2 linked regions of the Cricetulus griseus genome follow. The protein of the gene in region 2 purifies or fractionates together with the protein of the main gene of each other region. This does not show direct contact. Links are inferred from orthologs where the notes say so. Each region holds a gene or a part of one and is shown on either strand. Other genes may lie near its edges.

Region 1 (6,377 bases), on a different chromosome or scaffold from region 2:
GGGGGGGGGGGGGAAGAGAGAGAGAGAGAGAGAGAGAGAGAGAGAGAGAGAGAGAGAGAGAGAGAGAGAGAGAGCGCAATAATAAACAGGTCACAATTCAGCTTCCTGGTTTTAGACAGGCCTGGAGTTGTGTGTGGATAGTTTATGGTTTTGTGTTAAAATTCTCAGCCATGTGTTGTTTTCTTTTAAAAGCCTGGAGATTATAAACAGATACCAGAGCAAAACCCTCTATTTGAGAATTTTTAATTGCCCATTTTGCTGATTAAACATGTGTTTGTTTAGGTTAAGTCAGTGGTGTGGGAGCCCCGAGCCCGCTTTTTATTATTGTTAGCATGCCCACAGATGTCCGGCTCTGCATGGAGATGGAGTATTTCATAGTCTTGTCTCCATGGAGGGCAGGGATAAGTGCCCTCAGTTGCCTACCCCTCTCCCCCTGCCACCCCCATCCCAGTGAGAGACCAACATTCATTTCCTTCCTTACCACCAACTTTAGAGATGGGGCAGAACCTCGGACGTTCCTGTTTTCTATGTTCCTGTCAAGGCACTCTCCCCTCTAGTCAGCCTGCTGCAACGCTGTCAATGTGGAGGTATCATGAGTGGTCAGTACTACATGGAGCTTCAGGGTCGCTGGGACTATACCCTGTCAGCAAGGATTTCCAATTCATGGTTTTCCAATTGATGAAATCTCTGGCCAAAATAGCTTGGTTGACTTGCACAGGAAAGTCTGAGTTCTCGTATAAGTCCACCTATAGTTTGTGCCAACCTTCAGATACACAAAATGGACTGCTTGATGTAAATAGCCAGGAACAATGAGGGGTGTTGTTATTACCCTTCATTGTCATTAAACTTAATGTAACACAATGTCTTTTTTAGACACTTGTTTTAAGTCGTGTGTGTTTGTGTGAGTGGATTCCGTGTGTGTGGAGGTGTCACAGAGGTCAGAGGATCAGATCCCCTTGAGTTGGAGTGACAGGCAATTGTGAGCTGCCTCACACAGGTGTTGGGAATGGAATCCAGGTCATTTGGAAGAACACTCAGTGCTCTAACCACTGAACCATCTCTTCGGCCCCCAGAAGCATGTGTGTCTTTTGACATACTCTCTAAATTTAACAGAGAGTTTTCCCATAATAAAGACTCATGTACTATCTGAAGCAGTTACTTAAATGCCTTTCTTTGTGAGTTCAGAGCCTGTACACCCAACAGCTACCCTTCACGGGGTCTACTTCCTGTAGAATTCTCATTTCTATGACCTGAGTGACAATTTCCTGGTCTCTCAGTTCATGGAGGACCCACAGTGCCTCTATGACAAATATGTTTAGTACATCTGATATTAATACACGTGTATTCTCACGAACAATTGATTTTGAAAATGTTTGTAAATACAAGGGTATTGTGTGTTTTATTAAAGCCTGGAGCTGACAAGCGTAATCATTACAGTATTATCTTTAGTTTCTGCACCATTAGTTTCAAAATTCTCACCTGTCATCTCTGCCTGGCTGGGGAAGCGGCGGCACACGCTGATGAAATCCAGCCGGCCTGAAACCAGAGACATGGAGCAGCATGGATGTCAGGGGCTTCTAGTAGAGCCTGGCTTCTAGCACAGTGGGGGTCTTTTGTAGCGCTGTGTGAAAAGCAAACACGATTTAGCCAAATGATTTTTCCATGCTATCTTTGGCATGGCGAGGAGTTGACAGATGGAAATGTAACCACACCATGTTTTGGTAGGAGAGCATGGAGCTGGTGTACAATAAGTCCAAGCCTGTCGCTGTTACTGGAATGGCTTTCCCAACGGGAGATGTCAACAACTTCGTGGTTGGCAGTGAGGAAGGTACCGTCTACACAGCTTGTCGTCATGGAAGGTGATTTTTCTGTTTTCTTTCTGATGACATGGTCTTCATGTTCCAAATTCTTGCCATCTAGATTATAACCACCTTGCTTTGCAAGATAGTTATTTCTGAAGAACTACAATGTACGACCTCAAATCTAATAGCTTAAAGCACACATCTGTCTGGGGCCCTGGTGACTTACAAACCTTCAGACACTTCACATTGCCTTGAAGAAAATGTTCGACTTCTTCACGGAGCCCATCACACTCCCTATTCCTTGCCAGACTAATTTTTCACACATACCATCAGGCTCCCACCATGTACCCTTCAGAGATTAACAACCCCCAAATATTGCCTCCTCCCTGCGTGCTTTCATGAGTCAGTTCCTCTGTTTTCTACTTGGTCTAGCATCAGATACCATCATAAGAATATACTAAAGTGCAAGGTACCTGTGTCCTTGTTGAGGGTAAAGACTGATGCAAAAGTAAATAGTTGCTTAAGAACCATCAAGGCAACTGAAGTTAGATAAGCAAGAGAGAACCCTAGCCAGTCACGCTGGCTACTTTATATATTCTTCTGCATACAATTGCAATAGTATCCATCACATTTTGTTTCCATCAGTCTTCATCAGTCCTTATTCTGCCATATTTCTCTGGTTAAATTGTTTCCATTTCTTCTTTGATTTCCTGCCCCAGAACCTGGTACATAGTTAATAGGTGAAGGGCTGAAATTTAAATAAGAAATAAAGAAATGACAGTATTTAAATAATGAAAGAAGTACCTTAAGACCCTCCCTCCAAGCCAGGTGGTAGTGGTCGGGGTGGTGGTGGCACAGGCCTTTAGTCCCAGAACTGTAGAGGCAGAGGCAGGAGGATCTCTATGAGTTCAAGGCCAGCCTGGTCTACAGTGCAAGTTCCAGGACAGCCAGGACTACACAGAGAAACCCTATCTTGAAAACAAAAACAAAACAAAACAAAAGATCCTCCAAGTCAGAAAGGTTGAAACAGTGTGAAACACACATAGAACTGTGCAGTAGCTCCCACGAGATACTGGTGGATGCCTCTGAAGTCAGCTGTAACAAAGTGGATTTGTGACACTCGGACTTAACAGGTGGGCCTCTCATCCTTTGAAAGGATCCCCGCATCCACACTGATGCTTAACTTCTCTTGCGCTTTCATAGTTCTTGGCCAATGAGTTTTTCATCTCTTGCACTCATCCCAGGCTACTTAGATTTAACAAGGAATTACAAATTGTTTAAGCTCAGCTACGTGAATTTTTCCACTCTAATAACACAAGCTGTGATAGTCCCATTGTTTTTGTGTCTAGAGAAGCAGTTTTTGCCCTGCTCATAGGATTTAAAGATGACTGGGGAAGTTAGGTCCATGTCCAGCATCTCTGTAACAATAAAACCCAGACTAAACCCACACACAAAAAGATAGGATCAGTTTATTCATTTGCTCAGACATTTGCTGCTCGCCTCCTCTCAACAGAGTGTATTGCTGAATGCTCTACGTAGACGTAGACAGGTGCTGTTTAAACCTGGTTCTTTGGCGGGGAGTGGGGGGCTTCAAGACAGGGTTTCTTTATATAACAGTCCTGGCTATCATGGAACTTACTCTATAGACCAGGCCGGACTCAGACCAGAGATCCGCCTGCCTCTGCCTCCCAAGTGCTGGGATTAAAGGCGTGCGCCACCACCCGGCTAAACCTGGTTCTTGTCAGGAAACTGATGCCAGTGAGACTAACACGTGCATACATGCATGCAGCACCCATAAAGATGCCATAATTGGTATGTGACACACAGATCCAATGAGTCAGACGCATGGCCACAGTTCCTTCTCTGTGTGTACTCAGATCAACAACACAGCCTTTTGGTTAACCCAATTCAGCTACAGCCTGGGTGTGCATACTCAGGGTGTTTATGAGCTGGAGTGTACATTCTGATTTTCTTCCAGATTTCTTAAGTGAGTCACCATCTAAATGAAGGCTATTTTTATTTTGTGGCTATTGCAAACAGGCCCAGAGTATTTTGCATTGTTGTTCAAAAGAATGTGCCTCTGACTCACACCACAAATGCCTTTACTGATTTTGCTTTTGACATTGGTCCATCCATTTGAACTATAAAATGCAAATTTTGGTAAGGTCATAAAGTAGCAAGTGCTGGCTCTGTAATAATGTTAAACAGGTCATTTAGGGCTGCAGGGGAGAGCTAGGGGGTTTCTATTTTTTCACCTAATGTAAAGTGCAAATCCAATTCCACAAATTAAAGGAGATCCTCACTTTGCACCCTGTAAAGCCTCTCAGGATGCTGCTAAGAACAAGCTGAACCCCACCAGGGGCCACTTCACAGATCTGCTGTTCCTGCTCACCAGGGCACATTTTGCTGAGCACACGTTGGAAGCCCTGTTAGCAGTTTTACTGAGAGGAATGGCTGGTTACACGGAAGACACTCAGCAGTGCTTTGCTCATGATTCCAAATTTTACTCAGCACATTGACACTCACTGGTGCTCAGGGCCCAAATGTTTTACTAACTGAATTCATTTTTGCTTTTAGTGACATAATATTGAGATTCCACAATCCCTACATGTTTGTCATACTTACAGCCTCATGCATGTGAATCTTTTAAATATAATATTGTGGGTATATTTTCTAAGCATTGCCTAATTGTGTATGACTGCATGTAGGCTATTACGTAGTAAGAGAAGGCTGGAAATAATCCCAGTTCAGTTAAATAATCCATGCCAGAGGAAGACTTGTAAAATGTGCATCCTTATTTCTCAAGTGTGCTTCTTTTAAGCAGCATAAATTTTCTTTTTTCCTTTGTAATTTAACTCAACAAACATTTATAGAGTATTTATTGTATATTAGACACTTGGAAACAAGAAATGTAAGATAGCTCTGCTTCTGGAATTTACAAATTGAATCTCTAATCTCCCTTCAGTTTCCAATGGAATGGAAAGATCTCTTTTCTATATTTTATTGATACCATGTGAATTATTTTGAAGCAACTACAGTTTTCATCAGATGTGACATTTTTTTAGACATGTCAACTTAGTTTAAGAAGTTTCCTTGGAGGACTATGCAACTATTCATTCAAAGAGTTATTGAATTGTATAGCCAGTAAAGTCCTCAGAGGGCACTCAAATGGGGCTTGAACACCTCAGGGGTTGTTGCATCATAAATAAGAATCTCGTGAGACTCAAGCACATTTGTTTCACCGCAGTAGTGTCTCCAAAACAAAGAAATCTGTAAGGTCGATGCAAACAGACAAATGATAAAAATGTTTCTTATTTAAGTCTTAAGATTTCTTAACTGTCAATGTTTTCCCTGTCAAAATTGCTGTGAAAATGGCTTTATTCTTGATCTTGTATGATTATTTTCTTATTTAATCATTTTTTCATTTATTTTTGAGATCATAATTTTATTACATCATTTCTCCCTCTTAAACTTTAAATATACCCCCTCTTGCTCTCCTTCAAATTTGTGGCCTCTTTTGTTATTACTCGTGATTATAGGCAAATATGTATAAATGTGTGTATTCCTAAATATGAACCGCTCAGTTTTTTATTCATTTTACGTGTATGGTTGTTCTAACAGAGGTGAGCGCTGTTATATTTAATCAGTCTTTGCTTTGCAAAGATCACTGAAATGATGTGTGTTTGCTCTCTGCAGCAAAGCAGGCATTGGTGAAGTCTTTGAAGGTCACCAAGGACCAGTGACGGGAATTAACTGCCATATGGCAGTGGGTCCCATCGACTTTTCTCATCTGTTTGTCACATCCTCATTTGACTGGACCGTCAAACTGTGGACCACAAAGGTAAGGATGCCTGGATAGAAACTGTCCTATAGTACACAGGGGATGAGGATGTTTCCCCCTGGGGGAGTTGCAGAGAATAACCGTACCTGGCATAGAGATTCAGACAACATACTGGAGAACTCCATCTGTCCAGGAGCTAAATAATACCTTAAGGTCTTTTTGAAGTCCATACTTATTGTAAATGTTTAAATTATACTTGAAAACAGATGAATTGTAAAAAAAAAAAAATACACAAATGATTAAGTAATGATAAATCCAAAGTCCTCCTTTACAAATGTTACTCATGTTAACCCACCTGTATCTTGCTGTTAATCTCTCTGGGTTCTGTAGCATTTACTTACTCACATTCATGGCTATGATAAAAAAATGTGTAGTTTGCCACATTATTTGATTGGTTTTGGTCTATTTTGGTTTCTTGAGCCTTTGGAGGTTTCTGAACTGGAATATGGCCCTGTGTTACTTACAGTTTAAATGGAACTTGTGCTGTGGAAAAAAAGTCAACCTGAGCAGTGGTGTCATACATCTTTAACTGAAGTACTCTGGAGGCAGAGGCAGGTGGATCTCTGAGTTCAAGGCCAACCTAGTCTACAGAGGGAGTTCCAGGACAGCCAGGGCTACTCAGAGAAACTCTGTCTCAAAAAGCAAGACAAACCATAAAGAGATGGTGTTCTTCAAAACAGAATCAAAGTCCATCCGAAAGAAAGGTGTGGTGGCACAGAGATTGAGGAGTGCTG
Region 2 (6,377 bases):
AGAAGATGACTTAAGTCAGACCCGGGCCATTAAGGAGCAACTGCATAAGTATGTGAGAGAGCTGGAGCAGGCCAATGATGACCTGGAGAGAGCAAAAAGGTAAAGGATGCTGGGCGCTTCATGAGGGTAACCAGTTGTCAGCTCAGGCTTTCCTTGGACCCTAGGAGCCCGTTTCCCCCTTCAGTATCTTATGTCAAGATTGAATTGAAAGGAACCAAAAGAATAAACTGAAACAAAACAACATGCCAGGCTTAGTGGTGCAAACCTAAATCCCAGCACGTGGGAGACTGAGGCAGATGGATCTCTGTGAGTTTGAGACCAGCCTAGCAAGTTACAGATCAGCTCAAAAACAAATCTCCCTAAAGCCTTTATCCTCCTAAATAAAGTCCTTCCAAGCACTTTCACAATCCTCTGACCTCTGCTCTTCATAGTGCCGGGGTTACACACACACACAAAATCATACCCAGTTTGGTATGTGGGTGCTGGGAGCTGAAATCAGGTACTCATTGTTGTGCAGCAAGTACTCTATTTTTATTTTATTATTTTATTTTTGGTCTTTCTTTCTTTCTTTCTTTCTTTCTTTCTTTCTTTCTTTCTTTCTTTCTTTCTTTCTGTTTTTGTTTTCAAGACAGGGTTTCTCTGTGTAGCTTTGGAGCCTATCCTGGAACTCGCTCTGGAGACCAGGCTGGTCTCTGGTCTCGAACTCAGAGATCGGCTGCCTCTGCGGGGGGGGGGGGGGGGGGGGGGGCAAGTGCTGGTGTGCGCCACCAACGCCCGGCTTACTTTTGGTTTTTCAAGACAGGGTTTCTCTGTGTAACAGCCTTCGCTGTCCTGAAACTTGCTTTGTAGACCAGGCTGACCTTAAACTCACAGAATATGCCTGCCTCTGCTTCCAGAGTGCTGGGTCTAAAGGCATGCGCCACCATACCCTACTTGTCTTTTTTTTTTTTTTTTTTTTTCCAAATTTAAGATGTGTCTCACAGCTGAGTATGGTTTGTGCCTGTAATCCCACTACTTGGAGACTGAGGCAGGAGGATTTCTATGAGTTTGAGGTCACCTTGGGCTATGGAGTGATTTCCAGTTCTGCCATACTATAGAGTAAGATCCTGACATCAAAAAGCAAAGCAGAAATGTGCCTCACATGTCCTCTCTTCCTTGTGTGTTCTCAGTCTTTACCTCCTGTTGTGTAGGCCTGTATATCTTAAGCTTGGACTCAGCAGTTATCTTCACACTTTCAGTCTTTTTCCTTTTTTTTTTTTTTTTTTTTTTGCTTTGTGAAAAAAGGGTTTTTCTGGAGCCTGTCCTGGAACTTGTAGACCACACTGGCCTTGAACTCAACAGAGATCCACCTGCCTTTGCCTCCTGGGAGTGCTGGGATTAAAGGCATGCGCCACCATGGCCTGGATAGTCTCTTTACTTTTAATATTGACCAGTGGATCCTTTAATTACTGCTTTCATCCTACAGTGGCTTGTTGTTACTGTTGTCAGATTTTCATGTCTCAGTTACTGTTTACTACCATTCTAAACCTAACTCCTACTACTTTACAATTATCATCTAGTACTTTTTAAAAAGAAAGCATTTATTTATCTATTGTGTATGCAGTGTTCTGACTGCGTGTATGCGGGCACTCCAGAAGAGGGCACTAGATGTCATTAAAGATGGTTGTGAGTCACCATATGGTTGCTGGGGATTAGCCCAGGTCCTCTGGAAGAGCAGCCAGTGTTCTTAACCTCTGAGCCTATCTTTCCAGCCCCAAGCCTAGTACTTTTTCTTTAGTATTTATCAGTTGACTGTTGATTGACATGATGCTAGTCACTGTCCTTGGAGCTGACCCCAAGAACACCTGCTATGATAAATGCTCCAGGAGGAAGAATGTACAAGCTGCTTCAGAGCAGCTAGAGCACCTGTGGGTACTGGAGAGCCCTTTTACAAATTGGAGCTGAGTGTGCAAAGAAGAAAAGTTAATTCACCGTGGAGAGATGGTGAAGAGGCTGGAGGCAAGAAGGTGTTTGCACTATTTCATTAAGAGTTTGCTTTCATTGGCAGGTCTAGTGACAGCTGAAGGGTATGAGAATGGAAGGCCAGGTTGGGAGTAACCCTGTGTGCTATGTTTGAGCGTCTCTTTACAAAGGGTAACATCTGATTGATTTGAGAAGACAATACTGGGAAGGTTTTTTTTTTTTTTTTTTTTTTTGGTTTTTCGAGACAGGGTTTCTCTGACTTTGGAGGCTGTCCTGGAACTAGCTCTTGTAGACCAGGCTGGTATCGAACTCACAGAGATCCGCCTGCCTCTGCCTCCCGAGTGCTGGGATTAAAGGGGTGTGCCACCACTGCCCGGTTGACAATACTGGGAAGTTTAAGCAAGGAGTTGTTGTAAAACTATGAAGCAGTAATCCAGATGAGAAAAAAGAATTAAGGCAAGAGAGGGGAGACTGTTGGGGACCAAAGACTAAAAGGCTTTGGAGAGACATTTTGGCAGCCTACTGTAACTGATAAGATTAGAATTGGCATTCTGAGTTCTAACTTTAGGTTGGGGAATTTTATTTCTGTAGCAGATAGCAGGAAATGGGAGGCCACAGAGTGGGTACATGCTAATTTTTGTTGGGTGGAGTGAGATCATTCTTCAAATTGGGTCAGACTGACTGGGTCAGGAACGGCAGGAGATAAACTGTTTTCTTTGTATTAGCTGTTTGTTCATGCTATTTAATTCATAACTTTTAATTTTTTTTTAAAGGGCAACAATAGTTTCACTGGAAGATTTTGAACAAAGGCTAAATCAGGCCATTGAACGAAATGCATTTTTAGAAAGTGAACTTGATGAAAAGGAATCTTTGTTGGTCTCAGTACAAAGGTTAAAGGATGAAGCAAGAGGTAAGTGTAATAACTTAGCAAGTATTTATCCATTGCCTTGTCCTCGAGCCTGAGTAAGCCAAGCATCAACCCTTTTGATGGTGCTGGAAATCAAACCCAGGACCTAGAGCATGCTGGGTAAGCACTCTGCTTCTGAGTTATGTCTCTAGCCCTCAATTTCTATGAAGCTCTAGTCTCACATGAATTTACCTATCTTTTAATCACTACATATTGCTTTTCCCCTGGTAATTTATTTCACAACCTATCATCAGTGCTACAAGGTAGTTATTATTCATCCATATTGTAGATGAGAAAGGTGAGGCATAGAGAGTTTGGGTTTTTCCAAGGTAGTACTGCTTTCATTTGGGATTTTTTTTTCTGTATTGATTCTATTTAAATACCTTCATGTTATCTACATAGAACCATGTATTTATATATGTTGCTGTTTATTATACATGTAGCCAGTACTCACTTTATTTAATTAAAACTTATGTCTCCAGAAGCACAATAAAATTCAGAATTTTATAAAGAAGGAAAGCCCACTAACGGTGTGACATATTTGGTTCAGTTTTTTATGGTTGTGCATAAATATGTCTTTCTATCTTCCTTTGTATAATTCCTGACTTATTTCCTATAAGCAAACCAGTGTGCATACACATTCCCTTTCTTCTGCTTAATATAGGAATATACATGCCATCACAAGTTTTTCAATAGACTTTTGGATCTAGAGAGATGACTTAGCAGTTGGGGCATTTACTGCTCTTGATCTTGTTTTCTTTATAATCTGAATTTTATTATGCTTCTGAGGAAGAGTGAGGGGAGTTTTAAAGGAAGTGTGTTTTAATTTTATGTCATCTCTTATATATTTTCAAATGCCTTTTTATTTTCTTTTTTCTGAGGGTGGTGACATTTGGAACTTTTTTAAAATTAGAATTTTAAAAAGATTTCTTTATTTTTGTAAGTTTATTTTATGTGTAAGGGTGTCTTGACTGCATGTATGTGTACCGCCTGCATGCTGGGTGTCCTAGGGAACTAGAAAAGATCAGATCTCTGGACTCAGAGTTACAGATGGTTGTGGGCCACCATTGGGGTGCTGGGACTCAAACCCCAGTCCTTTGGAAGAGCTGAGTGTTCTATTAACTACTGAACCACCTCTTCAGTGTCTGAAGAACTACTTTAGATTATGTAATATGTAAAATATTAACTTGGTATTGTTTATTGATAGCTTTTGTTTTGCAGTGCTAGAAATGGAACACAAGACTTTGTGCATGGTAGACAAGCACTGTACTACTGTGCTATATCCCCAGTCTTGCTCATTGTTTTGTTCATTTGTTTTGAGGTGGTGGGGCTTAATGCCTGCCAGGCAAGTGCTCTCTATCCCTGAGCTACATTCCCAGCCTCTTACTTATAGAAAATTGTATTTAACATCTTTCCTATTTTGCTTTTTGAGAGAGGGTCTCACGGTATAGTTATGGCTGGCCTGAATATCACTATGTAAACCATAGTCACTCCCAACTCACAGAAATCTGTTTCCCTCTACACTGTCAAGTTTGGACAATAAAAGTCTGTGTTAGCTGATTTTTAAAAAATATTTATTTAAATATTATCTATCTATCTATCTATCTATCTATCTATCTATCTTTGTTTGTCTTTTTGAGACAGGGTTTCTCTATTTGCCTTGACTGTCCTGGGAACTTACTTTGTAGACTAGGCTGGCCTCAAACTCACAGAGATCTTCCTGCCTCTACCTTCTGCTGGGATTAAAGGGTGTGTGTCACCATTGCCTGGCTTGTTGTTTTTTTTTTTTTTTAATCAAGTGTTATTTCTTTTTATTATGTTATTTATTTATTTATTTATATTTTTATTTTTGGTTTTTTGAGACAGGGTTTCTCTGTGTAGCTTTGGAGCCTATCCTGGAACTCGCTCTGGAGACCAGGCTGGCCTCGAACTCGCAGAGATCCTCCTGCCTCTGCCTCCTGAGTGCTGGGATTAAAGGCGTGCGCCACCAATGCCGGGCGCCTGGCTTGATTTTGCTTTTCTGAGATAGGGTCTCTGTACATGGCCCTGGCTATCCTGGAACTCACTATGTAGATCATGCTGTCCTTGAGCTCACAGCGATCTGAATCTTCCTATTCTTTTTTGACAGAAATTCTGTAGGTTAGTTGTGTAAATGGAAACATTAAAAATTCAGTATTGAAAAAAGATTTCATAGCAGTGGTTTAAAAAAGCTATGGTATGGCTGTGCGTGCCTTTAATCCTGGTACTTGGGAAGCAAAGGTGGTTGGATCGCTATAAGTTTGAGGTCAGCTTCACTGATAGAGTGTTCCAGGCCCACCAGAACTACATAATGAGACCTTGTGGGAAAAAAAAGTAAAAAATTAAAAAAATCACAAAACTTTTTTTACTTCATTGTTTTTTGTAAAATAGTCTTGAAACTACTATTTCAAAATGTGATATATGCAGATATATATGGGAACGAGTTGGTTAGGAGTGTTTTGTGTTATTAATTTCAGGACATTTGTTAATTTCAGGACTTTGTTTTGTGTTATTTAGTTTCACTATGAGTTCTATTTTGCACCCTGCTCTTTTTGTTTTTTTTTTTTTTTAAAGATTTATTTTGTGTGTATGTGTATGCTACTTGTGTGCAGGTGCTTGCAGAGGCCAGAAGGAGGATATCAGATCCTCTGGAGCTAGAATTATAGGCAGTTGTGAGCCGTCTGACATGGATTGGGAACTGAATTTGTCTTGTGGAAAAGCCATCTTTCCAGCCCTCACTGATCAATTTCTTTTTGCCTTTGGGCATAGTTCTGTTCTCTTGAGGTTTAGCATTTTAAAATTCTTTTTAAAAATTACGTTTACTGGGATGGCTAGGGGCAGGTGGGATGTTTCGGGGGAGGGGAGGGAGAGGGAGAAGGGATTGACATCTGAAGCAAGCTTGTTCCTAATTTGAACTAATAAAAAAAATTATGTCTACTTATTTAAAGTGTGTGAGTGTGTGTGTGTGTGTGTGTGTGTGTGTGTGTGAGAGAGAGAGAGAGAGAGAGAGAGAGAGAGAGAGAGAGAGAGAGAGAGAGAGCTTGTGCCACTGCATAAATATGGAAGTCAGAGGACAACTTGTAGGAGCTGGTTCTCACAGTATACCATATCCGTCTCAGGGATGGAACTCTGGTTGTCAGGCTTGGTAACAAGTGCTTTAAGCTACTGGGCCATCTCACTGCCCCATGTTCTTAAGTTCTAAGAGATTATTTAAATTGTAGAACTCACATTTTTATTCATGAGATGATTTTCAGGTGCTTTGTTTTGAGACATGCTTAGGAATGTCATTATTATGTTTTGGTTGGGACTTTGCAGGATATATTTGCTTCTCTAGTGAGGATTTCTGTCTTTGTTTGAAACATTTTGCAGATTTAAGGCAAGAGCTAGCAGTTCGGGAACGACAACAGGAAGTGACCCGCAAATCTGCTCCTAGCTCTCCGACTCTGGACTGTGAGAAGATGGATTCTGCTGTCCAAGCCTCACTCTCCTT

Evidence for each region. Proteins that work in one complex are often made in the same cells at the same time.
Region 1: the proteins of Ndel1 (region 2) and Dync1i1 purify together in Homo sapiens (affinity purification with western blotting; 3 studies listed by BioGRID and IntAct, with this or other methods). This does not show direct contact. The link is inferred for Cricetulus griseus from reciprocal best matches to the Homo sapiens genes NDEL1 and DYNC1I1.

What each region holds. Positions count from the first base shown.
Region 1 is NW_023276806.1:218,951,661-218,958,037, reverse strand, and holds part of Dync1i1 (cytoplasmic dynein 1 intermediate chain 1), read left to right. Parts: intron 1-1,725; coding exon 1,726-1,859; intron 1,860-5,498; coding exon 5,499-5,643; intron 5,644-6,377. UniProt on the Homo sapiens protein: Acts as one of several non-catalytic accessory components of the cytoplasmic dynein 1 complex that are thought to be involved in linking dynein to cargos and to adapter proteins that regulate dynein function.
Region 2 is NC_048600.1:82,725,722-82,732,098, reverse strand, and holds part of Ndel1 (nuclear distribution protein nudE-like 1), read left to right. Parts: coding exon 1-99; intron 100-1,872; exon of another isoform or gene 1,873-1,980; coding exon of another isoform or gene 1,981-2,006; intron 2,007-2,735; coding exon 2,736-2,872; intron 2,873-6,256; coding exon 6,257-6,377. UniProt on the Homo sapiens protein: Required for organization of the cellular microtubule array and microtubule anchoring at the centrosome. May regulate microtubule organization at least in part by targeting the microtubule severing protein KATNA1 to the centrosome.